Xenopus tropicalis: one gene and its partner. The protein of the gene in region 1 interacts with the protein of each later gene in a pairwise test. Links are inferred from orthologs where the notes say so. Each region holds a gene or a part of one and is shown on either strand. Other genes may lie near its edges.

Region 1 (16,215 bases):
TTTGGGGGGGGGGGGTTGGAGTTAATGGGGTGAACTCTGTTCTAGCTTTTTTTACTCTGAACTATGCAGTCCATCACACAACTACTGTAAGTCAGAATTTCACATCAGCGTGTGCCTGCCTTGTTGCCTGTGCATCAGATGTAAATGAGTCTGGAACTGTAGGGAAAACACTGCATTGTGGGTAAAAAACAGTGACACACTCAAAACTACACTCAGCACTCTGCACTTATAAATGTGCTCTCATTGGTCTTCACAGAAACCACTACAGACTGTAAATTGTATAATTGGTCTGTGTCAGATAATGGTTAAACCTATATAATCTGATCCAAATAGTGATTCAAAGATTGCCATACTGAACATTGGAGGGTATTTTGAACTTGATGGACATGGCAAAGGCAACTATGCACCTAGAGAAGGAAAGGACATGCATGAAATTAGCACAGCAACAGAAAACACACCTTACACAATTCGGTGTGCATATTAACAAACAAAAAAGAACACCCTAGCAGCTTCACACAAGCTGGCAGCACTCAAAACCAACAACAAACTAATAGCTATACAAACTTTCATCCCTGCACCCCTCTTCTGGCAAGATTTGCACCTTTTCTACAATAAAATAATGGCCTCTTATTACCTTACTTATTACCGGTTATCTTTCATGTTAATAAACACATGCAACTGCGCATAATTTACCAACTGCCTGCAAGTGCTCTACATGCATAGCCACCTCATGAGTGCCATTATGCTGGAAATATGGGGAGAAATACTGCATTGTGGGTAAAAAGCAAGGTGACTTGCACCCACAATTGCACTTTGCAGACTGCACTTGAGATCCTATATGATCCTTATTGGCTTTTCTCCTTTGCAACTCCACATAATATTTTACAACCCTGTAACCCACCCCACAAGAAGCACATGTATTAGACTATTTACAGATATATACTGCCCCCAAGTCATAAGGTATTAACTCAGGGTCACCATGAACATGAGCCAACGAGGAATACAGTAGGGGGCTAGGGATGCCACCTTTTCCCCTGCCAAAAGCTGGGAAGGGGGATGGGTGGTGATGTCATGGGGCAAGAGAGTGACATCACAGGGGTTGGACTATTACAAGGCAATTGGCCTATCGCCACATCAACTAGGAAAGCCCTGTCTGGTTTTCCAAACAAGAAAACTGAGCAGTTTTGACAGCCCTTCTGAAAACCAGGCTGTCCGGGCCAAAACCGAATGGGTGGCAACCCTTATGGGGACCAATAGGGTGGGCACCTTTTTAGAAAAAAAATACCAGCTTTCCTAAATTTTTATTTTCCTTTACTATTAATACCAGTGGCATTAAGCATAATTTTTCATGGCCAGACCAGGAAAAATACCCATCAGGTGGTAACATTAGAGCCCAATAAATTTAAGACCCAGGGCCTAAAAGCAAAATTTGGGCCCTGGCCCCTACCATTCAAATAGGCATGGTAATGTCTGCGCCATGGTGGTGCTTAGAAAGTGCCCCCTTCGCTCCAGTTCTTTGCACCTTCCACAGCAGGTGCAAAGAACTGCTGCAGAGAAAACACGAGAATCTAGCAAAAATACATATAAAGGCATTTTCTGCCATTTTGTTGCCTGTGACAAAACGTGAAGGATAAAACACCACATACATCACTGCCCTGAGCATAGAGACAAGATTCTGGAAGTCAATAGCTTTGAGGAAGTTTTACTTTCAGTGTCAACTTTTACATATTAAACTCACTTGCATATTACATATTAAACTCACTTGCACTGAGTTGTACCTCCCTTGCATCAAGGGAACTGCATGGCATTTTATACACTGTGCATGTGTGCCAGACGTGACATTTACCCCCCCTAATTATTATAAAAAACTGGTGCTGTTGAGAAGTGCTCTATTTTGTCATCAACTATTGCACTGAAATTGTGGGTAAAGAACATTGCTTCATGTGTAAACAAACATGCTGATTAGTACATCGTGCAAGGTAGTATATATATAATAGACAAAGAGAGCTCTAATCATGCAGATCCGTTAAATCTGTGACTTGTCAACACAAAATGTTTCTCAAGTAAGGACACCAAGGGGCTTGACGTATAATTTCAGATAATTTTTACATAGTTTTTACTCTCCTCTGTTATATATTTTACTAACATAGAAAGTGAGTGGCTACGCCTTCTGGGAACTGATGCATAAAGGCTAACTTGAAGTTAAAATCTAAAATATTACTTATTTGCTGTATTGGATAACACTGGTGGTATAGGCAGTAAATATTATATTTTCATATATTTGAAACCCTGTTTTGAGTGACAAAAGGAGTAATTTATAATGTGCTATATAATATAATGTGCACTTTCCGGGGTATTTGAAAAATATTAAGCAGCAAAGGGTGAACTTGAAGCCACAATTACTACCACATGACCAGGTGAAATTGCTAGGCACTCTAATGGCTGCATCATAAACAAAGTTAAATTGCTATATACTCGGTTGCGTCTATAGTTCAGCACTAGAAACTATATACTGTACTAAACTGCAAGGGGGCCTGCATATAATGTGAACTGTTCATATCTAGAACAAATCTATGCAACTGTGGTATGAGGAGGATTTGCCCTTGCTGTAAAGAGCAAATATCCTGCCCTTTGGTGTTTGGAAGCATCTGCCTTGGCTGAAACCTTAAAGGATACCTTAAAGCTTGGGCAAAGATGGTGGCATGGGGCTCTGCTACAATATGCCTTGAGCCAGGGTGTTTATTTAAAGAAGAGGTAAGAATAGTCATTTGGGCACAACACCCAGTGATTCTGACTTTAGTTCTCCTTTTACTGTAATTCCTAGCATCCTCACAAGCTGAAAATGCAAAACACAGGGAAAGTTATGAGGCTACCAGTTTTCTTTTACCCAAATATAACCATAAAAATAATCAAGAAAGACAACAACAAAAAAGTAACAGGTTTATTCATGTAAATTTAACCCTGACATCTACTGGTGTCACAATACCCCACATGTGATGCAGATACAAAGCACCAAACATTATATGCATCCTGCTAATCTCACAGTGTTCTCCGTCAAATTAACACCAAATGAAACGTTTAGCTACTCCCTGTGGTGGCTGAAGGACTCACGGTAAAATTAATTTGGAAACTGACTGAAAAGCACCAACAGAATGCAGCAGATTTCCTCATCTACATATTGCAAAAGTTCATAACATGGTATGGCGCATGGACATGAGTTCTTCTTTACCAATCATGTGTATGAGGGATGTCCAGCCAGTGGCCCTTCAGCTTTTGAATTACAAGTCCCACTAACATCTGAGAGCCAACATGCTTGAAGCATAATCCACAAAGTTAGGGCCACTGCTTGCATGTCCCAGCTGCAGTCAGCAAACACAACTCAACATGAGATCTTCATGTATAATTGTAGTACTTTCTGGGAAAATGTGGCCTGACTGCATCTCATCCTAACAGCATTATTGCAGATTTAGTTACATATTATTTGAATCTTTCAAATATCTTTCTTTCGATCATTGGGTGGTTTCCTCATTATACAGCAAATCTCACAGCAATATGTTTAATGGGTGTGTTAATGGGCAGCACCAATACAATAAAGATTAAGCTTTTTATTTATAAACAGTGATCCTATTACAGCACTACATGGCCAAAATTAGCCAGATACCTGCCTGACCAAAATCTTCTTCTAAAACCAAAGGTATTAATATGAAGATGTTCTTCCCTTTGCTGCTATAACAGCCTCTGCTCTTTTGGGCTTTCCATGTGATGTGATGTGCATTGTTGGTAGAATTTCCACTCAGTCACAAAAAACATTAGAGAAGGTGAGCACTGTGATCACATATGGCTTGCAGCTGGCATTACAGTTCAGTTGGGTTGATGTCAGTGATCTCAATAAACAATTCTTTATGGACTCAATTTGTAAGGACATTATTGTGCTAAAACAGAAAAAAAAAATTGGAAGCCACAAAAAAGAATTGTCAACAATGTCATTGTGAGCTGCAGCTTTAAGGTCTGCTTTCAATGGAATCAGCAGCCTGACCCATAGAATAGCAAACGGCTCAAGATCATTATTCAGCCTCTTCCAAACTACTATACCATTGGGAAAACTGATTTAGACAGGTAGGACCTGTCAAACCCAGACTTGTGTGTCTGTCAGATGCTAAAGCATGATCCATGACTCCAGAGATGGATTTCAGGTGCTCCAGAGTCCAGTAGCTACAATCTTGACACCACACCAGGCAAGAATTTTTAGGTATGTGAAAGTTAATCCTGTGTGTCACTGAGCTGATCACCCACTGAAAAACTTAAGATTCTGAAGAAAGGAAATCTGGAACCCCATAGTGATTTTGACTAAAGACTTGACATTTTTATGCACTACATGCATTAATACTTGGTGGCCCTGTGGTCTAACACTTGATGACAGAGTAGGTCACTGAGCTCTTTAGTACAACACATTCTGTTAGCAGCTGGAGATGTGAAGCTGTCTGCAGTGTTAGAAAGGAGAGACTCTTGAATAGAAATTAACACTAATTCCAAGGGATGTATGTATATTTTTGGCCATATAGTAGGTAGATGATGGCATTGTGCATCTTTGATCTGTGATATTTGCTCCCAGTAAAGACATCTTGGGAATGATTACAATATTTCATTTATACATAGTAAATATATTTCACACATTTGAATTTCTACTTAGTCCACCAAACTTAACATAACATTGTCAAATTATTGCTTTGCATGTTTGACAGCTAATTGATATGCAAACCATCAGTGCTTAAAAAAGTTGTTCTGCATACCCCTGGTCTTACATAAGCTGAAATTCTTTCAATGCCTTTTTTTGGGTAAATATTGCGCCTAGGCATTCTGTAATCAATGAATCCCAGAGTCTGAAACAAATTACAACATTCAGATGCCAAAGAGGCAGCAAAATTCTGAAAAATTAGTTTTCTGTCCTGCTGTATGATGTTAAATGCTAAACAAAAGTATACATTAAGAAATTGAATATTTCCTTTTTTTTTTCTTCCAAGTACATTGAAGGTGAGAAGTGTTGAGCATAGCGACTATGATAAAGATTCCATCTTCCTGGCTCCTTCTTCTTCCATGCTGGGCCTTCACTCCTGCTGTCCATTGACACTGTGATCTGTCAGGAATACCCAGTGCCAGCGAGCTCTGACTATGTTGGAGAGGTTCTATACTGAATAGACATGTGCTTTGCAAGTCTGAGTTCGACTCCGTATGTGCAATTGTTATTGCAAGAGGATGCGTCAGTGAAGGTTATTCTGCAGCTACAGATTAAAAATGCAAACAGCAAATTATAATAATAACAAAATTCCAGATGAAACACATCAAAATAAGAAATTATGCAAACCAAAAAGTTCTTTAACCATATAAAACACTATGCGCACATGGCTTTTACAAATATTACGGAATCTAGAGTTTATTTTTAATGGTCTGTTAATTAGTATTAAGAAGTATATTATCTCAAAATAAATACTGTTTTCTGGTGTATGGATGTTTGTCTTAAAGATGTATGGCGTAAGCATTGGAGAACTAGAGCAACAGCGAGCAAGTGGGTTGCCTGTACCACATATTGGTGCTCGAGTTTAAGGAATACACATATACATTTTTGGCTGGACCATAAAAAGTAGGCAGATCTAATGAAGGCCATTACTGAACAGCTTTTCACCGATTATGTATGTAAAGGACATAAACATCAAGTTTGGAACCTCAAAAGAGACTGTATTATGGTTGTAATATATGCTTTTATGTGTCACTTTCTGACATTTCAATCTAAATTTAACATTATTGTGTATTATAAAGATATCTAAAATATATATGTATATTGTAAAAGTGTATATGATTTATCATGATTGTATCCAGCAACTGGCTATATTATATAAATGGAAATGGAAAATCAAAGTCATACTTCCAAATGTTAACTGTCCCAATTCCTCTGTGGTTCCCCAACATTAAGTAACATTTTGTTATTTTTATGCTTGAGAGACACCAGAGGAAGTTGAGATACTGGAAGAATGATTTTGATTTGTAAAACTGCACTATGTCTTTCTACACAAACATTGTGGGAGTTTTTATTTGATAAGACTTATACACACCAGTTTCTTAACTTACCATCTCCCCAGCCTTCAGAAACCCCAGCTAAATCATAATGCTTTTTCCGTAGCTCCCCCAGCTTCTCTCGCTCCTTTTGAAGTTCATTTTCCAATTCCAGAACACGCACCTGACAACAAAACAAGAATGACTATAAGATAATGAGAAATCATGCATCATGCAAAGTACTATCTTCTAAAGCCACCTAATCTGCCAGTTCTTGTAAGCAGTGTAATTGGCTATCACTTTCCAAAACTATTACCATCAGTGGCCACCTACACACCTACACCAAAGAAAAAGTAAAGCCATATACTTTTTTATTGAGATTACACTTATTAGACATAAACTACATTAATAGCAAGACATGCAAAAAAAGGATCAAAGCTAACAATACACCTAATGTATTGGATTTTCAGGCTTGGCCTTCGAATCAGTTTCCCAGTGCTCTGCAGTAAATCCTGCAAAGAAATTCCCACTAGTTCTAAAGTACAAAAGATTTATCTGTGCATAATGGGGAATAGAATGTTCATTTATTGGGCTTGCAATGTATTTAGAGTGGCACACAGAGAATACAGTCAATGTTAATCTGTAAGTATCCATGGCAAGGTAATCACAAGAGCAGAAAAGCTACATTAATTAAGTTAAATCCAGATGCTGCCACTACCTGAGAATCCATCTCCTTTCTTTTAATCTGTGTCAGAGTCATGCTGGAGAAATCCATAGTGTCTGTGGAAGGGAAGGAGAAACTAGTTAGAAGAAAGTGTATTTGCTCCAAGATGCAGTATTGTGAGTGCGCAAAAAGCTATATTTAGTTACTATAGGAAGAGGATTATTAAAATGGACTTATGGCCATCATTAGAAAGGGGATACAACTTGCCTTTTTCCTCAATCTGGGACATAACACACTTTGTAGAAGCCACAACTCCGGCTGCATTTTGATTCACAACTTTGGAGGCCTGCTGGAGCCTAGAAAGGTTTGCATTGTCCTTCTCAGCTTTTACCTGGAGACAACAGTGATTTTACAAAAATGAAATCTATTGGTGACATAATTTGCCACTTCTAAATAGCTCTGAACCACATTTGTTGAAATCCTCTGTAACATTCTTAACAAGGAGTCTTGCTCTGTAACTCTGAAAGAATCTGAAAAGAATAACTAGAACCAAATGCTGGTCCAATAAAGATTATAGGGCTCTTTTATATCTACAGAGGCAGTGAGCAACTTGTACTTTCCCTGCAGTGAGCTGTGTCTAAAACCACTTTCATTTAAAGTACTTGTGTCCAAATATACTGTGTGCACTTCAGTACAGTTTGGTGTCAATCAGTCCTTCCTGCCTTCCCTTTTGAATTGAGCTTTGCTGCATTTATTTATGCATGGCTCTGTGCAAACCCTAAAGTTGCAATTACCTCCTGACTAGGCAGTAGCTTCAGGGTTCCCTCAGCACCCTTCGTCAATAGCTACACCTAAAGATTCAGACATCATTTGCATGCCGAACACTGTAAATGACGTGAGCACTGGAACTCACACCAGACTACAACACTGTGTCTGCTATACACAAAAGCACACAAGCAGTTGCATCTATGTTGACTAATTAGACTGGACACATCACATCTGTGTCTGATTCAATGACCACATTGTGCCCACTGCGATGCATGAAAAAAAACACGCCAATTGTGTCCAAAATTGCACTGCATCAAGTAAGTAAAAGTGCCCTTTTGCACCTTATGATGTTATTCTCCCTGCACGGAAGAAAGAGCATCACAGCTATAACCATGTTCTTCCAAATCACTCCTGCATTTAATTAATTTTGTAACATGGAAAATAACTGGTTAGCGGCCTTTTAGTGTACTGGAACCAGGTAGCAGTTTTTAAAGAGGAACAAGTAAAATGGTCTTTGAGCTAAAGCTGGCCACACACGTAACGATTTTCGATCTTTCATGCGACCATGGGTCGCACAAAAGATCGTTCCAACCCTCCACTGACATTCAGGGCTGAATCGTCAGATATGGAGGTAGAAACAATAGGATTTCTACCTCCTTTTGTCGATTCAGCCCTGAAGGCAGATTTTGCTTAGGCATCTTCAATATCAGCAGCATTCTCTGAAGCACCGAAAATCGTATGAAAAAAGGTTTTGTACGATATTATCGGTGGGTGTATGGCCGGCTTAATGCTCAGGGTTTTCCAAATGTTTCTCAAAGAACAGATCTTGAGCATTTGTCTGTAAATTCTTCTTATTTTTGACAGTGGACTGAATTTTTAAAGCAGACATTTTGATAGAAATTTGCTGATATCTGAAATGCAACTTATTGGCTTAGAAATTAACTTCCTTCTACATCCTTCCTGGTGACTACTCTGGGCAAAGCCACACCAATTGAATGTATGTGGATTTCTACCCCTGTATCCTGTGGTAAAGTCATAGGAATTTGTCATTTGGTCTTATCAGCTATACCTTGGATGCTGCCACCAACTGAGCTGTGCTTGCTGCAATTTCATGGGAACACACAATGAGGTCTTCAAACTTCCCCTGACCTTGGACCACAAGGTCTGCTGCATCCCTGTAAAGCGCAAAGGATGAAGAATACAAAAGAAGAGTCAAAGAGTTCTGATTAGACTGAGGTTATATATAAATATTTTTTTTTGTAACTTAAATTTTTATTGATTTTATATAACAACAAAGAAAAGGAAGAGAAAGGGGAAAGGGAAAGAGGCATTCCTGGTTCAAGCATTGAGGTCATATTTTTTTTAAGGTGGGCCCTCTTTTTTAAGATGACATGCACTGTGTATCAGTAAAGTTAAAATAAATAAACAAGGTCCTAGTTTATTATCCCACGTGTGCAAAAACCCATAGATACTAGTCACTCTGATTTGTTGGTTGCAATGTGGTATATGTAGATGGGTTGAGCTGAGTGTATGCATGGGAAGCAGAATTACTTACACCATAACAGTGGCTCCCCAGCCAACAGCTTTTGATGCTGAGATCAACCCTTCTGTCCATCGAGAATTCCTGGCATAAAATTCCTTTTGAGATGCTGCACCCTGCAGGACAATCAGTTAATTATTGTTAATTTATAAAATGGGTTCTTGTTAAGCTAATTAGCCTCTTAAGTTTAGAATCTGGAGTTGGCATAAAATGTACTCCAATTAGGAAGGGAAACACAACATTTAGCCTCTATTGTAATACCGTATATAAATGATATCATGACAGCATATCATTGCAAATTTTCTATTCTGCATTGGCACTTCTTTCACAAGACTATTTCTATCATGATCATTATAATTTAAAATTAATCTTTTCAACCAGTAATTGAGAATAAGTTTTTGAGCTTGGATGTTCTAAATTCTGTTATTTCTTACACAACAGCAATAACAACCACTGCTAAATCTTTTTTCCCACCAATTTGATCTAGAAAACAAGGTTGAGTTTTTTCCCCCACTAATTTGGTCCTGATTACAAGGTTGAGCTTACCCTTCCACTCTCAACAATCTCTTTCTGTAGGTCTTTTGATGCCAATATTAAAGCCTGTATCCCCTGCATTAGGTCTGTGCATGATCCCAGGATCCTGCAGGAAAAAAAAAATTAGTAATAAACTTGTGTAACAAAACCAAATCCTATCATATTGTTGGTCTACACTAAAACAGCTAAAAATCAAAAAAGGTGTGGCTCATATCACTGTAGTGCAATAACATATATATGGGTTGATTCACAAAAGTGCAATAAGCAGAAAAAAACGCACAATTCGCTAAAGTATTATCGCGTGCGTTAAGTCGCATATCGCATGCGCTAAATAACGCATGATCGCAAGGCGTTCATTTTAACGCATTGCGTTAATTCTCGTGCAGAAATAATACTAACGCATGATTCACAAACACTTAGACACGCTAAATATCGCATTATTCATGAGCTTTTGGCAACACAATATGGACTTTACAGTGTGATTTACTCAAGTATGTGTTGGCCCTAGAGTGATGCAGCCTCCAGTTTGCAGAGACATGGTCATTTTCAGAACAGTAGTTTTCCGAAAATAATGGCGTGTATGGTTAATATGGCGTGCGTTGACAATTTGTGCGCGCTGCGTTAATTAGCGCGTGTTGCGTCAAATACCGCACGAAAATAGTCTTTGCGACATAAATAACGTAAACAGCATCGCGTCTAAATTGGCAAGTATCCTTTTAGTGAATCATGCGTTAAGACGCAATAAAATTTTTAACGCATAAATAGCACTCGTTCTAACGCACCTTAGTGAATCAACCCTATACACTTTATCAAACGTCCACAATGTTCTTACCGCTCATTGACTTGTAACTTTACTCCAGTATCATCAGTTCGGGATTTATTTAACATTTCCTGTAAAAAAATAATTTTTTGTTGTATTTATAAGCAGTCCAAAACACAATCAAGCCCCTGGTATAGCAGCACTATGTTAGAGCAGAGGCTGCTACATGATAACATAGGAGCTGGGATACAGGGTGCCCAGACTGCAGGGATCCCCTTCCTCTATAGATAGAAAAAAATCCCCCCTACCTCGACGGGAGCTGGTGGGGATACAAGTTGAGGGCGCAGGCAGAGGAATGGTTTTGCTGTGCATGCTACAACTTGGGGTGGCCAAGTACATTATAGTTACCCACTGCACTAGACTATGACTAAGTGCAATTTAGGCCTGAAATGTGTAGGGAAAATGGAAATGCTTTTCATTTTAATGTAACTTCCAATAAAGATTTTTACTTTTATATTTTTGCCCCTTGTGGAATCCATGAGTGCCTGGATGCCCCCTTTTCTATGTTGTAGGTCTAGGGCTGGTATATTTGGGCTACCTATTTGACTTGGGAAGTGCATTTACTTGTGACAACTTTTCTTGGGTATCTGAAGCACTGAAGGTTAACCCTTAATTTGGTTGTATCAATAATGTTAAATAATATGTGAACTTTACTAAGCGCCAAAACAGCTAAAAATCCGAATCTGACAATTCGCCAGGTAAAACTTGCCGTGATCATGTAGAAGTCAATGGCAGATGTCCCTTCCCTTCCCTGGAGGATCTTTCTTTTGCCTTGAAACTTTATAGGTTTCATATTTTTTACGCTGTTTTTTTGCAACTATTTTGCAATTTTCATTTTTCATGCAACAAGTTAGCAACTTTTCTGTCACTATTCCAGTGCTGTCTTTGACTAAACTTGGAAACAAGTTTAGTCGAATTTTAAAATAAAAAAAAGAGAAATGTTGAAGAGTTTTATTAAATCCGCCTTTATGTGTGTCATTAGTCTTATGGAGATTTACTTAATGGAGGATGGAGGTTTACTTAATTAAGAAAGATTGCCCTTTACGATGAAAAGCTTTTAGGGGAGAGACAACTCAAAGAACAGACTGATTATCACCGTCCTGTGACCACTGAACTGTTAATATAAATGTGAAAGAAAGGAAACATTGTAAAGCAATTTAATATCTATGTGGATTTGTATATCTTACCTCAATCCTAGTGGCAGCTGTTTCTACTGCTGCTGCAGTGGCTGCCATCTCTTTCTCTACCAGATCCCCCAGTTCCTCTTCTCTGATATCCAGTGTGGGAGGTCGCAGCTCCTACAAAAAATATAACCATTCATTAGTCATTAGATTCTGTCCCTTAGTGCACTCTCCTCTCCACCCATGTTTCAAAGCTACCACATTCAAGGATATACCAAGGAACCATGAAACCCTTTTGACATTAAAACAAGATGGCATTGCACTATAAATAATAATTTATACACTATATACTTTTCAGTTAATTCTGTACAGTGCTTCATATTAATATGAATGACCATCATGCAAATAAGTAAGGATGTGCAGTACACCCTGTGCCAACATATTTCATTAAGCAAAATAAAAACCTTGTAATAAATGTATATATAAAACATAACCTGAAGTCTAAATATTGCTAATTTATCTACAGGGGAAAAGCCTGGAATTTTAATTTAGTGGTAAAGCAGAAAATCCTAGAGGACAATGGAGAGAAATGTAATAAAGATCAACCATAAAATATGATGAGAATTGGGGCAGCACTTCAGAGGGTTTACTGTAATTAGAGCAGCATTATTTATACAGAAGCGAGTCCAACTGGCACTTTATATGAAAGTTAATTTTGTTTCCTGCAGCTCTCAAACCAAACTCTGCGGGAAAGTGCAAAACAATTTTCCTGGTGCAGAATTTAGTAGTGAATCTCTTATTTAAGTGCACATCCATGGGGCTGATTTACTAACCCACGAATTCGATCCGCATTGGAAAAATTCTGATTGGAAAACGAACATTTTGCGACTTTTTCGTATTTTTTGTGATTTTTTCGGCGCCTTTACGACTTTTCGGAAATTATCGCTACTTTTTCGTTACCAATACGATTTGCGTGAAAAAACGCGAGTTTTTCGTAGCCATTCCGAAAGTTGCGATTTTTTCGTAGCGTTAAAACTTGCGCGAAAAGTTGCGCTTTTTTCGTAGCGTTAAAACTTAAAAGGCGCGATGTTTTGCGCAAGTTTTAACACTACGAAAAAATCACAACTTTTTGCGCAAGTTTTAACGCTACGAAAAAATCGCAACTTTCGGAATGGCTACGGAAAACTCGCGTTTTTCCGCAAAAATCGTATTGGTAACGAAAAAGTCGCGATAATTTTCCGAAAAAATCGCAAAATACCGATCATTACGAAAAAAACGCAATCGGACACATTCGGCCCGTTCGTGAGTAAGTAAATGGGCCCCCATGTGTAAAACAAACTCAATCAGTTATGGTGCAATGCAGCCACTCTGGGGAGATTACCTACTCACGAGATATAGGAGGTATATTTGCTAAACATAACACATTTTGTGCTCTGAAATAAGAGATTCACTCTCTTAAAGAGAGTTTGTTCTCCTTGTCTGCATGGGTTTCTTCCATCTACTGCTCTATCCTCCCAAGCTCCAAAAATATATATAGTAGTCAACTGGCTCCTGGTGTAACTAATGTGTGATGTATAAATACAAACTGGATTCCAAAAAAGTTGGGACACTAAACAAATTGTGAATAAAAACTGAACGCAATGATGTGGAGGTGCCAACTTCTAATATTTTATTCAGAATAGAACATAAATCACGGAACAAAAGTTTAAACTGAGAAAATGTACCATTTTAAGGGAAAAATATGTTGATTCAGAATTTCATGGTGTCAACAAATCCCAAAAAAGTTGGGACAAGTAGCAATAAGAGGCTGGAAAAAGTAAATTTGAGCATAACGAAGAGCTGGAAGACCAAATAACGCTAATTAGGTCAATTGGCAACATGATTGGGTATAAAAAGAGCTTCTCAGAGTGGCAGTGTCTCTCAGAAGCCAAGATGGGTAGAGGATCACCAATTCCCACAATGTTGCGCAGAAAGATAGTGGAGCAATATCAGAAATGTGTTACCCAGCGAAAAAATGCAAAGATTTTGCATCTATCATCATCAACTGTGCATAACATCATCCGAAGATTCAGAGAATCTGGAACAAGGGTAAGGGTCAAGGCCGTAAAACCATACTGGATGCCCGTGATCTCCGGGCCCTTAAACGACACTGCACAACAAACAGGAATGCTACTGTAAAGGAAATCACAGAATGGGCTCAGGAATACTTCCAGAAACCATTGTCAGTGAACACAATACACCGTGCCATCCGCCGTTGCCAGCTGAAACTCTACAGTGCAAAGAAGAAGCCATTTCTAAGCAAGATCCACAAGCTCAGGCGTTTTCACTGGGCCAGGGATCATTTAAAATGGAGTGTGGCAAAATGGAAGACTGTTCTGTGGTCAGACGAGTCACGATTCAAAGTTCTTTTTGGAAATCTGGGACGCCATGTCATCCGGACCAAAGAGGACAAGGACAACCCAAGTTGTTATCAACGCTCAGTTCAGAAGCCTGCATCTCTGATGGTATGGGGTTGCATGAGTGCGTGTGGCATGGGCAGCTTGCATGTCTGGAAAGGCAGCATCAACGCAGAAAAATATATTCAGGTTCTAGAACAACATATGCTCCCATCCAGATGTCATCTCTTTCAGGGAAGACCCTGCATTTTTCAACAAGATAATGCCAGACCACATTCTGCATCAATCACAACATCATGGCTGCGTAGGAGAAGGATCCGGGTACTGAAATGGCCAGTCTGCAGTCCAGATCTTTCACCTATAGAGAACATTTGGCGCATCTTAAAGAGGAAGGTGCGACAAAGAAGGCCCAAGACGATTGAACAGTTAGAGGCCTGTATTAGACAAGAATGGGAGAGCATTCCTATTCCTAAATTTGCGTAACTGGTCTCCTCGGTCCCCAGACGTCTGTTGAGTGTTGTAAGAAGAAGGGGAGATGCCACACAGTGGTGAAAATGGCCTTGTCCCAACTTTTTTGGGATTTGTTGACACCATGAAATTCTGAATCAACATATTTTTCCCTTAAAATGGTACATTTTCTCAGTTTAAACTTTTGTTCCGTGATTTATGTTCTATTCTGAATAAAATATGAGAAGCTGGCACCTCCACATCATTGCATTCAGTTTTTATTCACAATTTGTTTAGTGTCCCAACTTTTTTGGAATCCGGGTTGTAGAACAGGAACCTTAAACTGTAAGCTTCACTGTGGCAGAGAAAGCTGTGAATGATGAAAAAAATCTGTAAAATATGTGCAATATAAATTATATAATAATCCTTGTGCCGCATGTAGAATTCACATGTGGTGATCAGTAGCTGTTTAGCTGAAAACATTTTTTTTTCATTTCACGTGTGACAAGCCTTATGCACAAGTATCATTTCTTTTCCAGGAAACAATGAGACTTATTTTAACATTTAAATTAGCCAACTGCTAATGTATCCATTTTAAACTCATTTATGAGTACCAAATCGCTAACAACTGCAGCATGACAATACCTAGTCCACGACTTTCTGTTTTTAAACAAATTCACTAATGAAGCAAGAGGATGTCCAAAAAATTTGAAAGAGTCCAGGTTGAGAGTGGCAAGTTAGGGTTGGGTGCATGTTGACTTTCTGTCTGTATGAGGCACTGTGCTTACACACAAAACAAGTGCATGCACACTTGCTATTTTACATCAGCCAATCAAGGAACAGAGGCATGCGTTTTACTACTTCACTTCTTGTTACAGTTGGCGCTGTACTATTTCTTGTCAGGTGATCTCTGACTATCACAAAATGGAGGCTCCAGGGAAAAGATGTAAAAGGGCAATATTAACTGATATATACAGTATATTTCAGTTTTGTAAGATTTGTTAATAGGTCACTTATTATAATATAAATTACATGTTGATTAAGTATTCATATGTACACTTGCCACAATATATGCACTGCAAATTTACCAATGAATGTTTGGGTATTTCCTAAATTTTATTCCATTCAATTAATTTGTGATTATTCAGTGAGATTGTAGCAAGAGAAAGAATAAAGTTTAAAATGTTCCACTGAAGTGATGTGTGGGTAACAAGCTGTACTATTCCTTCTGTGCATAACTCTGCAGGGATACACTAAGGTACATGCAGAGCTGTTCAAATAGCCCGTTCTGACTAATTCTTTCATTTATGCCATTCATCAATTCAGAGACCTCCACCTACCTAAAGGTGACCCATAATCATTTTGCTAAAGGTCACCTGGGAAATCTGGGCTTTTGTCATATTTTATAATGTTTTGGACTAATGTTATGCTACACTATAACAGAATCTGAATGCAAAAGACCTTATAAATATGAAAAATAAATGAGAAGAAATACAGAATGCTTCAAGTTGCTTACTTTGAAAGAACATTTTGTACGTTTCATGAAAATGAAGCCGCAAAAGCAATTTCTGTTTGCAGTTTGCAATTTTCTCGTTACAAATTTGCACAGTGGGGGAGGTTTACAATTGTCATGAATGTATGCTAAATGTAGGGTGTTAAGCAAAATGGTACATGACTGTTCATATAATGAACACAGTATATTCCTTCTGCTCTAGCACTGAGCATGGATATACCATCTTTATAAGTGTGACCAATTTTTAGCTTCCCCTAAATCAACAGTCAAGTATAAAGGATATATAAGGGGTGCTAAACATTTGAGGCATCACTGGGGCAAGTGGACCGTTAGGCTAATGGCAGATGGGTATTTCAGCTCCAGC
Region 2 (16,855 bases), on another chromosome or scaffold:
GAAACTACAAGCTAGTGCAGTTAGTTTAGAATATAAAATATGGCATTTTTAGCCATATTTATCTTTAGGGTTTAGCCCTCCTTTTACTCCAGATATGCCAGTATAATACCTTAATAAAGTGAATAATGGGCATATTAACTCCAGACGTGCCAGTAATATCACTGTAAAAACTGTGAATGAGCACTCCATTAACCCTAGACAAGCCAGTAAGATCACTGTAAAATGGCAAATGAGCACGTCATTAACCCAAAACATGCTAGTAAGATCATTGCATAAATGGATGGATTGAAAGCATTACCTCACCTGCACTTGCACAAGTAGAATACCAATACCAAAGTTTTCTTCTTTCCTAGAACTTGGTTCTCTCTGTCAGGCTTAAACTCCTGTAAAAACATTTTAGACACTTAAAAATGGCTACTAAAACAGTTATCTTTTGTAATGTAATTCATTCATTGTATCAGTGCCACCTGCTGGCCATTGGCTCACTGTCTACACTCGGGAAAAAAAATAATAACTCTAAGTAAAGAACAGTGATTTAACGTTGGTCTGCTTAATACTAACAAGAGAAACATCACGACTCTTCTAAAGTTGTTAAGCAGAGCAACATCACAACACCTTGACTTTTTCATGTTTTATTTCTGTGTAGACAGTCAGCCAATGACCAGCAGGTGACACTGTTACAAAATTTATTGCATTGCCTCGTTTTAATTAACATGTCTAATAACATGAAAATGAAAATAATAATTTATTAATAATGATAATAAACTGCAAAAGTACTTAGGAGAGCACCCTGAGCAATTGACATTAACTTGTTTTTAGGGTTAACACATTCTTAAAGATATGGAGATCCACATGACAGGAAAAAACCCTATCTAGAAAACCCAAGGTCCCAAGCATTTTGGTAACAGATCTCAGGCCTATATAAAATTTTACTAGCTTCATGTGACACTATGATTTGTGTTGGCGAGATATAGCACAATAAACTGGATATACGGTACATGCATAAATATTTATGTGCAGCTACTGCCACCTGCTGGAACCTAGAACATACACCGAATCTTCCTACTGCTGCTTTTTTTAAACAAATATTAAGCTCATATTCAAATGTAAATACAGTGGCATAACTACTGGGAGGGCTAGGGGTACAACGCTGGACTACCATGGAGGTGCTGTAAACTGTGGTAGCAGTATAGGTGCAAATCCAGGTAGAGGTGTGGGGGGCCCACGTGCAGATTTTGCACCCAGGCCATTGGGGTTTAGTTAAGTTAAAACTGTAATTATATCTAACTTGATAATTCATTAATCACTGATGTATACTTTATTATTCTACCAACATATATGTACATTAGTTTAATTATTATGAAAAACAAGTTGATGAATGAATGTGTTCAAACTAATAATCTTATCATTCAAAAATTGGAATATTTACATCAATCAGATAAAATCTGAAAATAACATATGAAAGAATTTAAGAATGTTCACCATGTCTAGCTGTGTTTTTCACTGTCCTGCTCCGGCTATTATGTTATATAATTTTTGACAAATCATGAAAACCCGGTTGTATCAATTGTCCCTGCAATGGTCTCGGTTGATCACCATAACTTCTCTGTTTCTATGTGGTTCCTAGAATATGAAATAGTGACCCAGTATCCATGATTTCAAATTCCATTCACTTAAATGTGAGATAAAAGGAAAACAAATATCAGTGGCACTTAAATAGCATTTCAACAGGTCCATACCAGTTATCATTAACCCATAGAGCCTGACAGAACCTTAGTTTCCACTGGACACTTTTCTGTAGCTGTATCTGTTTCCCTTAGGCTACTGTCCCACTGAGAGATTGGTCGCTGAGGGTTTTTTAAAAGCGAGTTCCAGTGACAAGTTGCTTTTTTGGTCTCTATATAGAGAAGAATATAAATAACTGTGGGCGGGGAATATGATATCTGGATTTGTGGGAAATAAAATCACCCAGTGAAGAGCCTAAGGGCTCTTAGAAACTAGTAACCTGAACAAGGACAACCCATCTAGAAAATTGAAAAATTACCCTTTCATATTTCTACTACTGATCTAAGACATGTCGGGAAATCCTGACTGGGAAGAGCCAACCAAGCTCCTTTACTCAGCTTGTCCGTTTTGGACATTTGAGAAGAACTATGCAAAATACCCTTAAAGCCCCCAGAAGGTCACAAAAACATTCTTTTACAGTCTTTTCTTATACCCATCCTAAGCAATAAGGAAATTAGCAAGGTCACCAAATGAGCATATTATCTCCCGATATGCTCACGTATGGTGGGCAATATCGGGCTAATCCGATTATTTGACTCTAGGGCCAATTGATCGAATTAAAACGGTGGGTATATGGGCTATTGGACCTAGGGCCATATCAATGAGTTGATGCGGTCCCCGATCCGACGGGATCTGAGGCTGATGTATGAGATAACTGGTCCCGTACATGTAATACATGTACGGTACTTGAAAATAAACCTGCCTAGAATCTTTAGAGACACTTGCCATTGACTTGGCGGTTTTAGTTGCAGAGTTTTATATTCAAAAAAAGATTCAAAGTCTAGGCCTGTGACAAGTGCTCTGTGCAAACAGTATATTTCAGTATATCCCTCCACTTGTCTGGCCCTTAATAGTTTTAATTGTATAGTAAACCCACAGTAGAGCTCCCATAGTCCCACTGCAGTGCCTAAGAGGCCCAATATAGGTGCTGCCCACCAGCATTTTAATCCCCCTTCTATCCCCCCCTCTCTCTCCCCCATCATGTTATACCAAACACAGTATTGTGTAATGGGGGAAGGTGACAACTTTTTGCCACCCCCAGCATGTACAGACAGTGAGGCATAATCTGTATTTTGCATTCAGCTCCTTGTAGCAGTGTTTGATATTAAGTGTGGCAGGGACTGGAACTGGAACTTGTTTGCAAATGGAGTGGAGCTGGGTGTCAGAAAGTAAATACATGTGTGTAAAAATGGTTTGGGATTGTTTGAAGTGAGGGTGTAAAAATGTATGTGAATATGCATACTGAGAATAAGAATGTGTAAAGAGATGTGTGTGTTTATAGGTAGTGGAGTGTGTGTTACTGGATATGAAAGTGTCTTCTCTACAATGTAGAACAAGTCAGGCTTTGGGAATTGTGGATGGATTAATAATGTGGTGCTGTGTCACCAGTGACTGGGGCTCCTGCTGCCTTTCCATTTCTTAAGCTGGCCATACACACATCGATTATACGTTTTGTATGATTTTTGGACTGTGTGTGGAGTCTGTATTATAGTCCCAATAATTTTCATACCATGACAATTGGCAATTTACGCATATGCAAAAGGGTTCCAAATGCACCGGACACAGCGGCTTGCTTAAAAGTCGATTTTTATTACTCCATTTAAAAACAATACGCCTGACGCGTTTCGTGTAAATATACACTTAATCATAGCCATGCCTATGATTAAGTGTATATTTACACGAAACGCGTCAGGCATATTGTTTTTAAATGGAGTAATAAAAATCGAGTTTTAAGCAAGCCGCTGTGTCCGGTGCATTTGGAGCCCTTTTGCATATGCGTGATTTCGCCTTCCCCAGCTACAGGTTCGGGGCTCTGAGCACCTGAACCACTTCTGAATAACGGTGAGTTCTTTGCATTTAGGGTTTCACATTGTGAGAGCTGATATGATGGTGTTGGGAATTTGACCTAGATCAACTGTGAGACAGATCCGGGGTTTATACACCCGGATCTCTCTTTTGTATTTGGTCCGTTTTATTTACTTGATTTCCTGACATTTGAGACATTTAGGTTAAATTAATTGAGCCATTTCTAAGTTTAGGTTACTACCATTTCTTAGTTTGTAGTCAATTGGCAATTTAGTCTGATATTGGTCAGATAAAGTCACTTTCATACTATTAGGGGCATATTTACTAAGCAATTTTGAGAAAAAGTCAAATTTTTTTTTCTTCTAGAAATTTTCTAGATTTATGAATGGGATTTTGCCAGTACTCAAATTTTATGATATTGTTATAATGAGAGTTTTTCGGAAATTTTCCCTGAAAAATCACAGAGTTCAGCTTTCTCTGTTTGCTTAAGACAGCAGCTGCCATTTTAAGTAGCTTCCTGCTTGCAGCCTGGCCGTTATAGCTCAGATCACACATTCCTAATGGTAGGGAGAGAGGAGAGAACTGTGCAGACTCTGGCCCAGGGAATTAAGGATTGTTTTGAGAGAGGAAGTCCGACACCTAAACATCATTTTTACAAAAAAGGAGACAAGAAATCCTGTGTTTCTTTTGATAGAGGACAGCTTATTAGTCTATCTTTTGATAGAGTGCAGCTTATCAGTGAAAAAAACTTACTTAGTTTTTACCTTTCCTTCTCCTTTAAAGCTTGCAAGTTTGTATAGAATTCAATGGGAGTCAAGCCATATTTTCAATTCGAAATATTTGAGATTTTTCTTTTTTTTCCAAGTGTATAAACTTGAAATTTAAAGTATTCAAGTTTTTTTATTTGAACAAGTTTCAAAAATAAGCGAGCATTTGATATATGAGTTTTAGATTTAGAAAAACAAACTCGAAAATTTATAAATAAGACCAACAGTGTCAACACAGCAGTTTTGAAATACATATTGCATAGGCCTGTGCTTTACATCGCCTAACAAAGCATAACTGATCGGGTTGAGGTTAATGGGCTTATTTATCAATTTTTCAGTTTGTGAATTTACAAGTTTTTTTTCTAATTTGAATAAACTTGCATTTAAAAAAAACTTGAATGCTTGCTTATTTATTAATATGACTAGACTTTTGCCTAAGATGACTTTTACATGAACTCTCAAGCTTATAGCTGCCAAATTTTAAAATTTGAAATTTCGAGTTTTTGCACTAAATTCCAAAAATTTGAGTTTTTGAACCATAACTCGAATTTTGGGAGTTTTAGCACAAACAATTGAATCTTGAGAAAAATTTGAACATTGATAAACCACCGCTTAAATATGCCTTGGTTTACTGTTATGTAGGCCAGCAGTATCATGAAAGTTCTGCATCAGTCTGTTATGTATATAGTGCGATACAGGCTTGTAACTTCAAATGTTACATTGGTTACATATGTTTAGATATAAAGAAGGTATAATCTCTGTAAAGCACTGTGGAATATGTCGGCCCTATATAAATAAACAATAATAAACTGGCCTTGAAAAAGTATGTCTTCATTGCTAGTGTGACAAATCTGCATGGCTATGGAAATAAACATTTGGAGTAATTCAGAAATTACTGGGTATCTAGCCCTCTTGTACCTATTTACCAGCCTCTCAGCATTTTCCTGATGGAGAATTTCCTAGCAATATGTGGCCATTGGCTAGAATCAAGTATAGGCCAGATAAGTGATGCCCCCACTATGCACCTAGAGCAATCTCAGTATAGAAGATAGGCAAAAGTGGGATATTTAGTTCACTAAATATCCATGATTTTTAATTGGCACCCGTAAACAAAAGGACTTTATAGAGACAAATTTGCTGGCCTGAAATTTCTAGACACTGTATTTTATATCAAGTTTGTGTATGTTACCCTGTATGTTTTTTTCTTTACTTACAGTCTATGTGGGACTATCTGGTAGAGCTGGGCGGTATGACCAAAAATTTATATCACGGTATTTTTCAAAATTATATCGGTATCACGGTATTTGACGGTATATAAATAAAAAATAAATAAATAATAAATATTGGTGGTATTTTAGTATATGTATGGTAACTGCTAACTACTAATATCCACTGCTAACCAATATCCATTTACTAAGCATTGCATCTCTGACTAATGCCCCACTGATATCGCATTTTGGTGGATGGCTTTCTGTAGACACAGACGCAACCTCCATATCCCTTGAAATTTTTAACAATGCGTACTCTAGAAAATTATCAAAATTTGGCATATTCTCAAGAGCATTATCACAGACTTGCTTCAGATTGCTCCATGTTCTTCATGTTGCTGTTTATTTGGATTTTGCAACTTCTGAAAACAAATGGTTGCACCAGAGCTTATTTCAAGATTTCACAGCAAAAGGGTGAGTACATATTTATGCAATAAAGATTTTTTTTTTTATCTGTAGATTATTTTGAAAAATAATATTTTCCAATTTTCCATTTATATATTAGTGGGCTATTAGTGTAGTCAGTGGAAAATACTCCCAACTAAAACCAGTTATATCGTAATCCCAGGTTGTTACACAACAAAATGTAAAAATTCACAGGGGTTGAATAATTATGCAAGGTAATTTATTTGTGTAGTTAGTAAAGTAGTTTGAGGCCTTAGTACTTTGGCTAGTTTAATTGTTCACTGGTGTATGCAACAAGACCGATGTTACAATCTTCTGGTTCAGTTTCAGTTTTTAGGAATTGCGTGCAAACCACGGGGCTCTAGTGGATAAAGGCACACCTGCAGTATATGGAGTCTGTAAGCACCCCCTTGAAACTACAGAAAGCCCATATTTCAGGGAAGGGGACGTACAAACTGTGCTGCTGAGACCATCTGCAAATATGCAGGAAAGTGCAGGTCTGGGATAATTGGCCTTTTGCGGTCAGTAGGATGCTGGAAGTTGCAGTGTAGCAAAAATGTAGGGCCATATATAATTTTTAACCACTTTTACTATCAACTATTTCTGCTCTTGCATTTTTCTGGCATTACATTGGTTTGATCTAGTGGCCCTCTAGCATTGTGACAGATCCTAATTTAGTATTACAAATAAATTGTTAATCTGGGTGGTATATTCACTTACAGCAAATTACAAACTTTTTATTTATTAGTCAAGATGCAATGACTGCCACTTTATTTATAGTAGTTCATTTGTTCAGCAACAATTTTTCACGTTTATGCACTACTACACTTTGAGCGATTGATTTACTTCTTAACCGGCAAAGCATGTAAAGGTATAAATATAAACCACTGTGATGAATTTATGGAAGAAGTGGTGATTTCATTTATCCAGTACTGCTGATCAGTGCTATAAGGGGGTTTATGGTCCTTTCGACATCATTCATTCATACCAAGGTACACACATACAAGTGCTCACTAGTGTTTTAATGTGCTCTATTTTCAAATGCATCTTGAGAAAGACAGGGAAAACAGTCTTGAGATTTCTGTACCGAAGACAAATAATATTTTTAATAAAAAGGAGCAGTTTTTTAAGGTCACAACTGTCCACAGTCCATTCTTGCAAGGACACCGGCACTGCATTAAATAAACTAGTAGAAACCGCCTAAAAATGCATGCTCGCATTTTTGGGGGGTGATCTCTGTTCTGTTTAGCTGCACTCAGGCTAACACTGTGCCAGTTTGTGAAGCAACATACAGGCAGGTATAGGGACCCCCTATCTCTCCTCTTGCCTACAAAACACAAGAGAAAGAGGACAGGACACCACGTGGGACTGTGTCCTTAGTGTAAATCATGTCCTGTGCAAGAATGTTGCAGTGCGTACCCACTGACAATGAAAGAGCAGTGTACAAATTACAATGCATTCCATTGATCTACCACCAGTTTCATACACAGGCCAAAGCTGCCATATTATCGTTTCTTTGAATGGACAGAGGGTGATATGCAATGTTTATTATGCCAGTTTGGCCATCATCTGAGTTTGACCTCTGAAGCTGCATAGGGTGCTATGAGAAAGGTTCCATATGGCACCCTTTGCAGCTTCAGAGGTTCCCACCAACAGGATCCTGGGTGCAGTGCCTTAGGATGAGTCTGTGCTACAAATTACAGATATACTATTATTACCAGCACATCATTAGGCCCTGGCATTTCAAGTACACAGAAGCCCAATCAGCCCCAAAACACTGTGACTGTCCGTTAAAAATTGACAATAGTCCTCCTGGCATTTGCCAGAACCTACAGTTTGCCTGTACACCATACCTCATTGGTGTTTATTCCATTTTTAGAAAGACTTTCCCTTTCCGGTCATCATATGGTGAGAAGTGGAACTGTGCAGGCCGCAGCTTAGGGGCATATTTATTATAGAGAAAATTTGTCACACATCGCCATGTAAAAATGGCGTAAAAACGGCGTAATTCTTTTACGCATTTTTTTTCCACCGGAACTTATGGAAAATAATGGCGTAATATCCGGCGTTCAGATGGTGATCTTTTCCATTTATTTTACACAGCTTTTTTTCGCCGAATTAAGTTTTATACAGCATAATAAATACGCCCCTTAGTGTCCGATCACCAGCGATCCAACATGCTGGCTTCAGAGTAAACTGCCCCAGAACCAGCATACATGCCCAGATGATGGTAGGCAGGGTGTATGAAATCAGCACACTGACCAAATCAGGCCAAGTATGACCACAGTATGACTATAGTATGACTACAGTATGGCACAACAGTGCAGCTGCCTGCACCCCTCAAGGAATACAAACTCGCCTGAGCAAACAGAGACAATAAGCTCTGTCCTGCGAAACCTGGGACAGCTGGCTGGGCTGGAAACTCTATGCACATAACCTTCACCTTCGTGAGAACTGAAACTACTCCAAAACAGAAGCACACTTACTTCCGGTGAAAAAGTTTCGCTATTTCATGGCAAAGAAAGCGTACTATAAGGGGAGGAGCAGCGCAGCGTTGGGGAACTCGGGCTCCTTGCTTGGAACACGCACACGGTGTACTCTCAGCGCTTCCGGGCCAGCGTCGCGCCCCTCAGTTTAACAGCGGGATAGGGCGGTGCCTCGTAAGCCACGCCCGCTGCAAGTTTTTCTCCGTATGTTTCCAGAGTTGTGGGAGTACAGTCCCTAGCTTTAGTGTGCCTAACTTGGATCTGCTTGTCTGAAGCTTGTCGTTGCGTTCTCCTCTGGTATTAGACAGATTCAAGGGACCATTTCTGTCAAATTTGAGGTACGTGCCTGTCTCCCCTCACCCAAGGATCGCTTTCCACGTTTACTCTATAAAGTTTTCACACTTCGAACTATGAACCGCTGCTTTCCAGCTGTGGATGAAGATGAGGAATGCTGGGAGTTGTAGTCCGGCCGCAGCTGGCGAACTGCACGGGAACGAGTGATGTCACTTGCTCTGTGTTAGAAGCAATCGCTCTTTCTTACCGATACGCTTGCTTGGCTGTAATGTTTCTGTCCGTGTATACATACTGGGTTGTGTATGTGTGTGCAAGTGTGCGCCGGTAGCGCAAAGATGGCAGCTGCTACAGATGTGTGTGTGGGTTGGAGCTGGAAAGTTTGCTATGCAGGGAGCTGTATCCGGCCGCAGCAGCAGGGTGAGAGTATCATGGTGTGTTTGTGGGTACAGGTATTTAGCAACACATGGGGCTCGATGATCGCATTAAGCTGAGCCATATTATCATTGTATTATTATTTTGCCTATTACATATTTCCTATCAGCTAGCCCTAACATTGTTGGCATTTGGACACAATAAATTGGTTGAATCATCTGTTATTAAACAAAATCACTATAATTATGATTCCTCTTGTTAAAATGAGAGATCTACCATTTACGGAAAATATGTTGTTTGCAATATGTCTATGAAGATTCTCATTCATCCAGGTCATGATATACAGTATCTAGTAGAATTAAGTCTAAAACAACTGGACTTTTCTGAGTTTTTTCCTTGAAAACGTTTCAAGATTTTCCATTTCTAACATTGGGACAGTGAAAGCCTCTTGTGTGAAATTATTCAACTGTACAACTGTACTGCTTTAAGAACAGAAGCCCTATGTAGGTATAGCCCTCTGTTTGCCCCTAAATTGCCTTTCTGGCTCCTTTATTTAGTCTAACACCTCCTCCTCCTAGCCCAGAGCAAGGGGAATGTGCAGTTGGGGCTAGGCACTCTGGTACCTGGAAGGTAAGTACCACTGCTGAGTGGAAAGGGCTTTAACCTTAGCTGGACATGGCTACTATAGGCCTGTGCAAATAAAATTAGTGACTTTTTTTTGTTAGTTCTTTAGATGCTTCTTTAACAGCAGCATAAATCTATTTGGCATGATTCCTTTGCAGTTTAGAATACACAGAATGTAATTTCAGCACAAGTTCTATTAATTCTGCTCCTATTGAAAAAAAGGTCTTTGTGTATGTATATACTATTTTTCTATATGTATTCTGCCCCTTTAAAGGGCTAGACAATGTTAAACCAATTCATTTAGTCTAACTAAAAGGCATAAAGAAGAAATACTGAAATCTGTGACATTGTCCAATAGTAACAGCTATAGTGTGATAGAGTTTACAAGGTGGAACTTTCATGTACCAGTCAGGCTGACATACCTTCCTCTATGAATTGCAGATTATTGAATATTTCATACAAACATTCTGCTAACATTCTCGGGTTTCTAAATTGGGACTTTGAGCCTGTCACAACTAGCCCATCTGTACTGCAGGAGTCCCTAATCCTGTTGCGCAGTTTACAGAATGTGTGTGTACCAGTATTATTTTAAATCCCAAACCCTATGCCATAATTTGGAAAGTGCTGCTTATAAATTGCAAAGTAGCAAGTCCTCACTGGTGTTCAAAATAGGCCCTGGAATTTCAAGTACACAGAGGGCCAAACGGTCAGTCACTATTTAGTGGGCAGTGGGGGGCTATGGCATCTTAGAGCACTACCTCTAGCACTAGCCAGAATCCACAGATTGCCAGTCCAGGCCTGCAAAATAGTACACTTTCCAGTAAACTGAAAAGAAAAGCAATGATCCAGTGTTCATACTCAGTGTATTCAGATCATTTTTTCCACCATTATAGCATCATTGGGCTTAAGTAAAACATAAACAATTCCTCAGACTGAGAGCCATAATTATCTCCTGTGACTCATAGGGACCATTTCCCCACCCCTTAAGGTGGCCGTACATGTTCAGATTTTAGTCTTTTTCCGACGAAGTTTGGATGTCAGTCATACATTTCAAGGGGATGTTTACCTTAAAATTAACGTTTATTATGATGTAGAGTGTGCTGTTCTGAAACAATTTGCAATTGGTCTTCATTTTTTTTATGTGGGGTTTTTGAATTATTTTGCTTTTTGTTTTAGCAGCTGTCTGGTTGCTAGGATCCAAATTACCTTAGCAACCAAGTAGTGGTGTGAGTGAGACATTGGGTTATAAATAGGAAAGGGCCTGAATAGAAAGAAGAGTTATAAAATATGACAATAATACATCGGAGGATGTTCTGAACATGAAATAGTTGCAGACACCAAACCTACAAAAGTTCCATTGTAGGTCCCCCAAGGATATTGTCCGATACACAAAACATGCATGTTAGCCGACCAAAATTTTTAACCTGACCGATTGGCTAAATGACCAATCACCATAGTAAGAAAATGATTGGGACGATAATTCAGAGCCCACACATGGTCCAAAAATCTTACAAAATCTCGTTTTTATCGGTGTGTATACGGCCAGCTTTAGCCTGGCAGAGTCATTCAACCCCTGGGACTTGAAGTTGCTTTTTAAAGGATCTATGCAGTGGCCACTGTGGAAAGCAGAGGAACTTCAACTCTATAAATCCATCACTTCACCACAGTACAATATGAGCGAGGGGTTGAATGACTGTCAGCCTAACTGGGGGTGGGCAGTGGACTGTGTGAGTCAGAAGCAGGTCATTGTGTTTTCTCTATATCTGTGGAATAGTGTATGTCTATGTAAAACAAATGGGTTTATATATATTTTTTTTTTTTTTGCAGTTCACGTAGTGATTATACATGTGATTTTAAACAAGCCCAAATGAATGTGCATATTTCAAAAACTTGTCCCCTTTAAAGATGGATATGTATCTTCAGTCATGTGGAGAAGTCATTTTCGTGACTTGCTGCCCTGGTACCTTGAGGCACTTTTTCATGGTTTCTCAGTGAAACCTTTCTGCTGGTATTTAGCATTTGACTACTGTCACACTGAGAGACTTGCTTGCACATCACATTAAATATACATATTTACCAGTTGAAGAAGCATTAAATGCCATAAGGTAGTAGTGATTGTTTTGTATATTTTATTGTGTGATGTGGAGCTAAAAGTTCCATATGTAACAACATTTTTTTAAACGCTCAGTGTTTGTTTTTGCTGGTTTCCTTTCTTCCAGTTGCCTGTGGTCATATTTAATTACAGATACATGCAGGATCCAGCACTTAGGAACTCTGAGGATGTCTAGTGCAGTGTTAACTCTTGAGTGCGGTTTGCTGGAAGTTCTGCAGACAGTGCATCAGTGCCTCTTCACTTCAGTCTATATGTTGACTTCTCATTCCCTTATGCAAAAACGTTATGGAATTTATGAAGTTGCTCCATTTTCCTGTCATAAGAATGACTAAGTGACACAAGCTTTCTTACAATGAAGCAATTATAGAGTTTCATGCTCAGTGCACATGCCTAAAACTGAGGCAGGTAATAGAACACTAATTCATTTCTTTTAGGGCCATGGCTCCCATGGCATTTTGATCATTATTACTAATCCCTGGTTGCTTTCTGTTCAGTTCTTTGGGAAGCACAGATATCTTTCAGAACTTGCCATTAGCTTTTGAAAAGGCGCCACAAATAGCCACGTTTGGTTTGCTGCCTCATTTTACAGAAATCAAAACACCTTATGGCCTTGGCCATATTTTCTATATAGGCATCCAAGGGACAGTGCTGGTCCTGGTTTTTTGCTCCCTGGAGATTGATGGTACAGTGCACTTCCAGAGTTCTGTGGCACAGACATTAAAAAGAAAAAAAGGAAAGTTCATATATATAAAATCCCACATAGGCAGGTGCACACTGGGAACGTTTACAAAAATTACTTTTATTATTTATAAAACTAGGTCGACGTTTTGGTCTCCTTCTAAGAAGGTTCTTGCAGTTGAACAATAGAATCGGTTTATTGTCAGAGACAATCAGTATGCAGGGTTAGTGCAATGTACTCACATACAGCAGTTTAGAATAGCAATACTCTGAGGACAGCACAGAGAGGGTGCACACCTGTTCCTCCCAACTCCTCTTAAGTCTGGGCAGGGTCAGTGACACCTGGTCCACCCTTTGGAACAGTCAGGTTGGATACCACACTCCTCAGGTTGCTTGGAGATTAGCTGCAGTGATTTGTAGTTAGCTAGAGATAGGTTTCATTGATTTCTCTTGACAGTCTATATTAACCCTAAAGGAAACTTATTTGTAACGTGTACCTTAAAAAAACACTATGTTCAGAATAAAAAGTACTTTAGTTTTGCCAGAAACAATGTGTAATGTAGCATATTTTAGAAAAAAAAAATGTATTTTCTATAAAGTTACTGGCATTTTAGTGGTTGCTTGGAGGAATCCATTTCTTGATTATTTTTGTTACCTCTGGGATACTCTTTTTATTTCCTTTATGGCAAACAACAGAAGATTTAAGGGACAGAAGGGAGTTTAGATGTGCTGTTTCACAAGGCAAATATAGTCCGTACGCACAGCAGATTTTGGCACAAACATGCATTTTTAATTGTTTCTGTGCCAAAATATGCTCTTTGTGTTTGCTAACAAGCCTATTCCATGCCTCAGTGTACGCACAAACGGGCATGGAAGGCAGCAGAGGAAGCGACCTCTGTGTACAATTTAGTCCAAGCTGGAAAATAACTAATGTTATGCAATATGAAACATTTCACAAGACTTTTAAAAGTCATACTTTATTGAAAACATCTCCAAAAACCCTACTAGTTTCACCTATCTGTTCCACTTCCTGCTGCTTCCTTTCCCAGGCTGTGCAGGGGATATTAGAAAAAAGATGTAGAAAAATAGAAAGCAATTTAAGAACATATTTTTTATGCTATATCTGAAAACAGCTGAACTAGGTAGTGTTTGGAAGGTGAACAACCTCTTAAAGGGAAACCTGTTCCTTAAAGATAGGTGCTTGTGCACTCGGAAGATTGAGCAACTTTTAAGGTGTATTGGATTCTTAGTATAGGTTAGAGATAGATATTTCCTCTGGATCAGAATTTCATTCCTCTTCTTCTGGATATGTTAACCACAGAGGAGGGGTTATGGGCGCTTGCCATTTAAGCTAAGCTTACTATTTCTATCTCCTTTTTCAAAGTATAGTTGGGCTCTATATATAAATGAGTTTCTCATTTCATGGGAGTAACCCCTTTAGCATGTATTTCCACTTTGAAATGTTAAAAGCATGAAAAAAAGTCCCGGGGGCATTAAATAAGAGCCTGTTGGTAGGCACTATGTGGACTGGCAATTTACAGGAGGTTCTGTTTGGCAGTACAACCAAAACTTTCCTCTAAGCCAGAAATTAAAAAATATGCATCTGCTTTGGGGCTACTGGGAGCAACATCCAACTAGATGGTGAGCAACATGTTGCTTACACGACACTGGTTGGGGATCACTGGCTTAGATCTTTCTTCTTGATTTCACTAGAAGGGATAAATGAAAAAGGGGTGATCAGAGAGAATTCTGAAAGGAAGGTTTTCATCGGTTTTGGTAACATGTTGTGAGATGGAAAAAGAGAGAAAAATAGTTTGTGTGAAGCATGTTTCTACATCCAAAAATCTTTGTGTGTGGTTGTGTATCATTGCAGAGCTCTTCCTACATTTTAGGGCATTCAACTTTTCAAAAGTTAAATAGATATTTTTGGGTGAAAAGCACACATTTATTTCACATGTGTTGTTATTGGGGCTTTGAACTCCATATTTCCTTGCAGATGGTATAATAATTTCTACATATGTATAAATAAATTAAAATGTTCTTATTATTTTTTTCAATATAAACTATCCCAGCTTAAAACTTGTCCTTTAATAAGCATACAGAACATCTACAGTTAAGAGGAAAACCATAAATACCCTACCACTATATTTATATGCCATTATCTTAAACAATTTATTCCTTTCTGCTATACAGTACTGTGTATATAAGTAGTGCTATATAAATAAAAATATACATACTTATCGTTCACTTCAACAAGGAAGCAACTTGCCATTCTTCATTTTTATATATATTTAGAAAATTTCCATTTTACTAATTTTAGTCTCTTTACTCTACACAAAGCACTTAAAACAATTATAATCAACACAGTTTTGTCTGCCAGTTTCAGCTTTCAATGGCCGGAAGCCTCCCATAGAAACAAGCTGCTGAAAGCTGAAATTGGTGGACAACAGTGAGTTGATAATAAGCAGCACAGCAGTCCTTAAATACACCTTTAAAGGGACAGTACACACCTAAAAATGAACACAGAAAATAGAACTTGGGTTGATATTACAATCTTTCTATTGTTTTACAATCTGTTGATTGCTTTAATTTGAAAAAATCCTATTTTTGGCATTATAAAGCATTCAGTTAAAAGTTGGGTTTGCTTTACTGAATTTAACCCCCTTCCTTTACAATTTACTGAATTTAACCCCCTTCCTTTTACATACGTTCGGTACGAAAATTTTGTGACTTTCGCATCACCAATACGATATTATCGTGACTAATACGATTTTTTTGTAAGCATTTTCGTGATATTTGCGATCTTCAGAAATTTTCGTTTCCAATCCGAATTTTTTCCATTCGGGATTCGAACTTGTGTTTTGATAAATCTGCCCCTATGTCTGACACTGGAAAGCTGAAACAATGCGTAGGCCTTTCCACCAGGGACGACTATAGTTGCCAGTGGAAAGGCATTTTGGAGGTTAGTCGCCCACTGTAGCAGAGATCTGTTGCGGGGGACTAACCAAAGCTGCCTTTGCTATAATGAGATACTAGGGCAGTAGCAATGCATTTAGACAGATGGTGGTACAATATTATATACCCTTTTGTCATGTGGATTCAAGGGTTAGATTTCTAGTGTGTTGACTAATGCTAATGGGGGGGGAACAAAAACAGAGAACAGCATCAGGAAACAGCCTGCCAACCATGTTTATTGTATAACACTCATCACGTGCCTAGTGTACATTAGATAGTTCAGTAGATAAACACAGTGTCGGCCTTTTAACGTCTGGCTGAAGCTAACCCAGAATATGTAGCTTGGAAGGCTGATTGGAGCATTGCTTTTTGGCCATCCATACATGTGGCAAAGTTGTACTGGATATGGCTACATAAAATACATAAACAGTAGACTTTGAATAGTAAACATAGTACAGGCATAGGATCTGTTATGCAGAAAGCTCAGAATTATGGGAAACTCATCTCCCATAGATATTTTAATCAAATATTTCAAAATATTAAAGCATATTTCCATTTTTCTCTATAATAGTAAAACGGTACCTTGTACATGATCCCATTTAAGATATAATTTATCATTGCAGGCAAAACAATCCTGTCGGGTTTGTTTAATGTTTAAATGATTTTTAGGTAGACTTAGGGGCACATTTACTATGGGTCGAATCCGAGTCCGAATTGGAAAAATCCGATTTGAAAACGAACATTTTGCGACTTTTTCGTATTTTTTGCGATTTTTTCGGCGCCTTTACCATTTTTTCGGAAATTATCGCAACTTTTTCATTACCAATACGATTTGCGCGAAAAAACGCGAGTTTTTCGTAGCCATTCCGAAAGTTGCGATTTTTTCGTAGCGTTAAAACTTGCACGAAAAGTTGCGCTTTTTTCGTAGCGTTAAAACTTAAAAGGCGCGACGTTTCGCACAAGTTTTAACACTACAAAAAAATCGCAACTTTTTGCGCAAGTTTTAACGCTACGAAAAATCGCAACTTTCGGAATGGCTACGAAAAAGTCGCGTTTTTTCGCAAAAATCGTATTGGTAACGAAAAAGTCGCGATAATTTTCCGAAAAAATTGCAAAATACCGATCATTACGAAAAAAACGCAATCGGACGCATTCGGCCCGTTCGTGGGTTAGTAAATGGGCCCCTTAAAGTATGTAGAAAGGCTCCATATCCAGAAAACCCCAAGTCCAAAGCATTCTGCATAACAAGTTCCATAGCTATACCTATAAAAAAAAAAAAAAAATTATTTTAAGTTGGCAGGT

What was found.
Region 2: the proteins of hip1 (region 1) and litaf interact in binary tests that used the Homo sapiens proteins (3 or more experiments, as listed by UniProt). The link is inferred for Xenopus tropicalis from reciprocal best matches to the Homo sapiens genes HIP1 and LITAF.

The regions. Positions count from the first base shown.
Region 1 is NC_030678.2:48,848,343-48,864,557, reverse strand, and holds the end of hip1 (huntingtin-interacting protein 1), read right to left. Parts: intron 11,673-16,215; coding exon 11,562-11,672; intron 10,446-11,561; coding exon 10,387-10,445; intron 9,661-10,386; coding exon 9,567-9,660; intron 9,137-9,566; coding exon 9,036-9,136; intron 8,656-9,035; coding exon 8,550-8,655; intron 7,104-8,549; coding exon 6,980-7,103; intron 6,829-6,979; coding exon 6,767-6,828; intron 6,233-6,766; coding exon 6,124-6,232; intron 5,280-6,123; coding exon 5,269-5,279; 3' UTR 2,928-5,268; downstream 1-2,927. UniProt on the Homo sapiens protein: Plays a role in clathrin-mediated endocytosis and trafficking. Involved in regulating AMPA receptor trafficking in the central nervous system in an NMDA-dependent manner. Regulates presynaptic nerve terminal activity.
Region 2 is NC_030685.2:36,362,950-36,379,804, forward strand, and holds the start of litaf (lipopolysaccharide-induced tumor necrosis factor-alpha factor homolog), read left to right. Parts: upstream 1-8,728; 5' UTR 8,729-8,855; intron 8,856-16,855.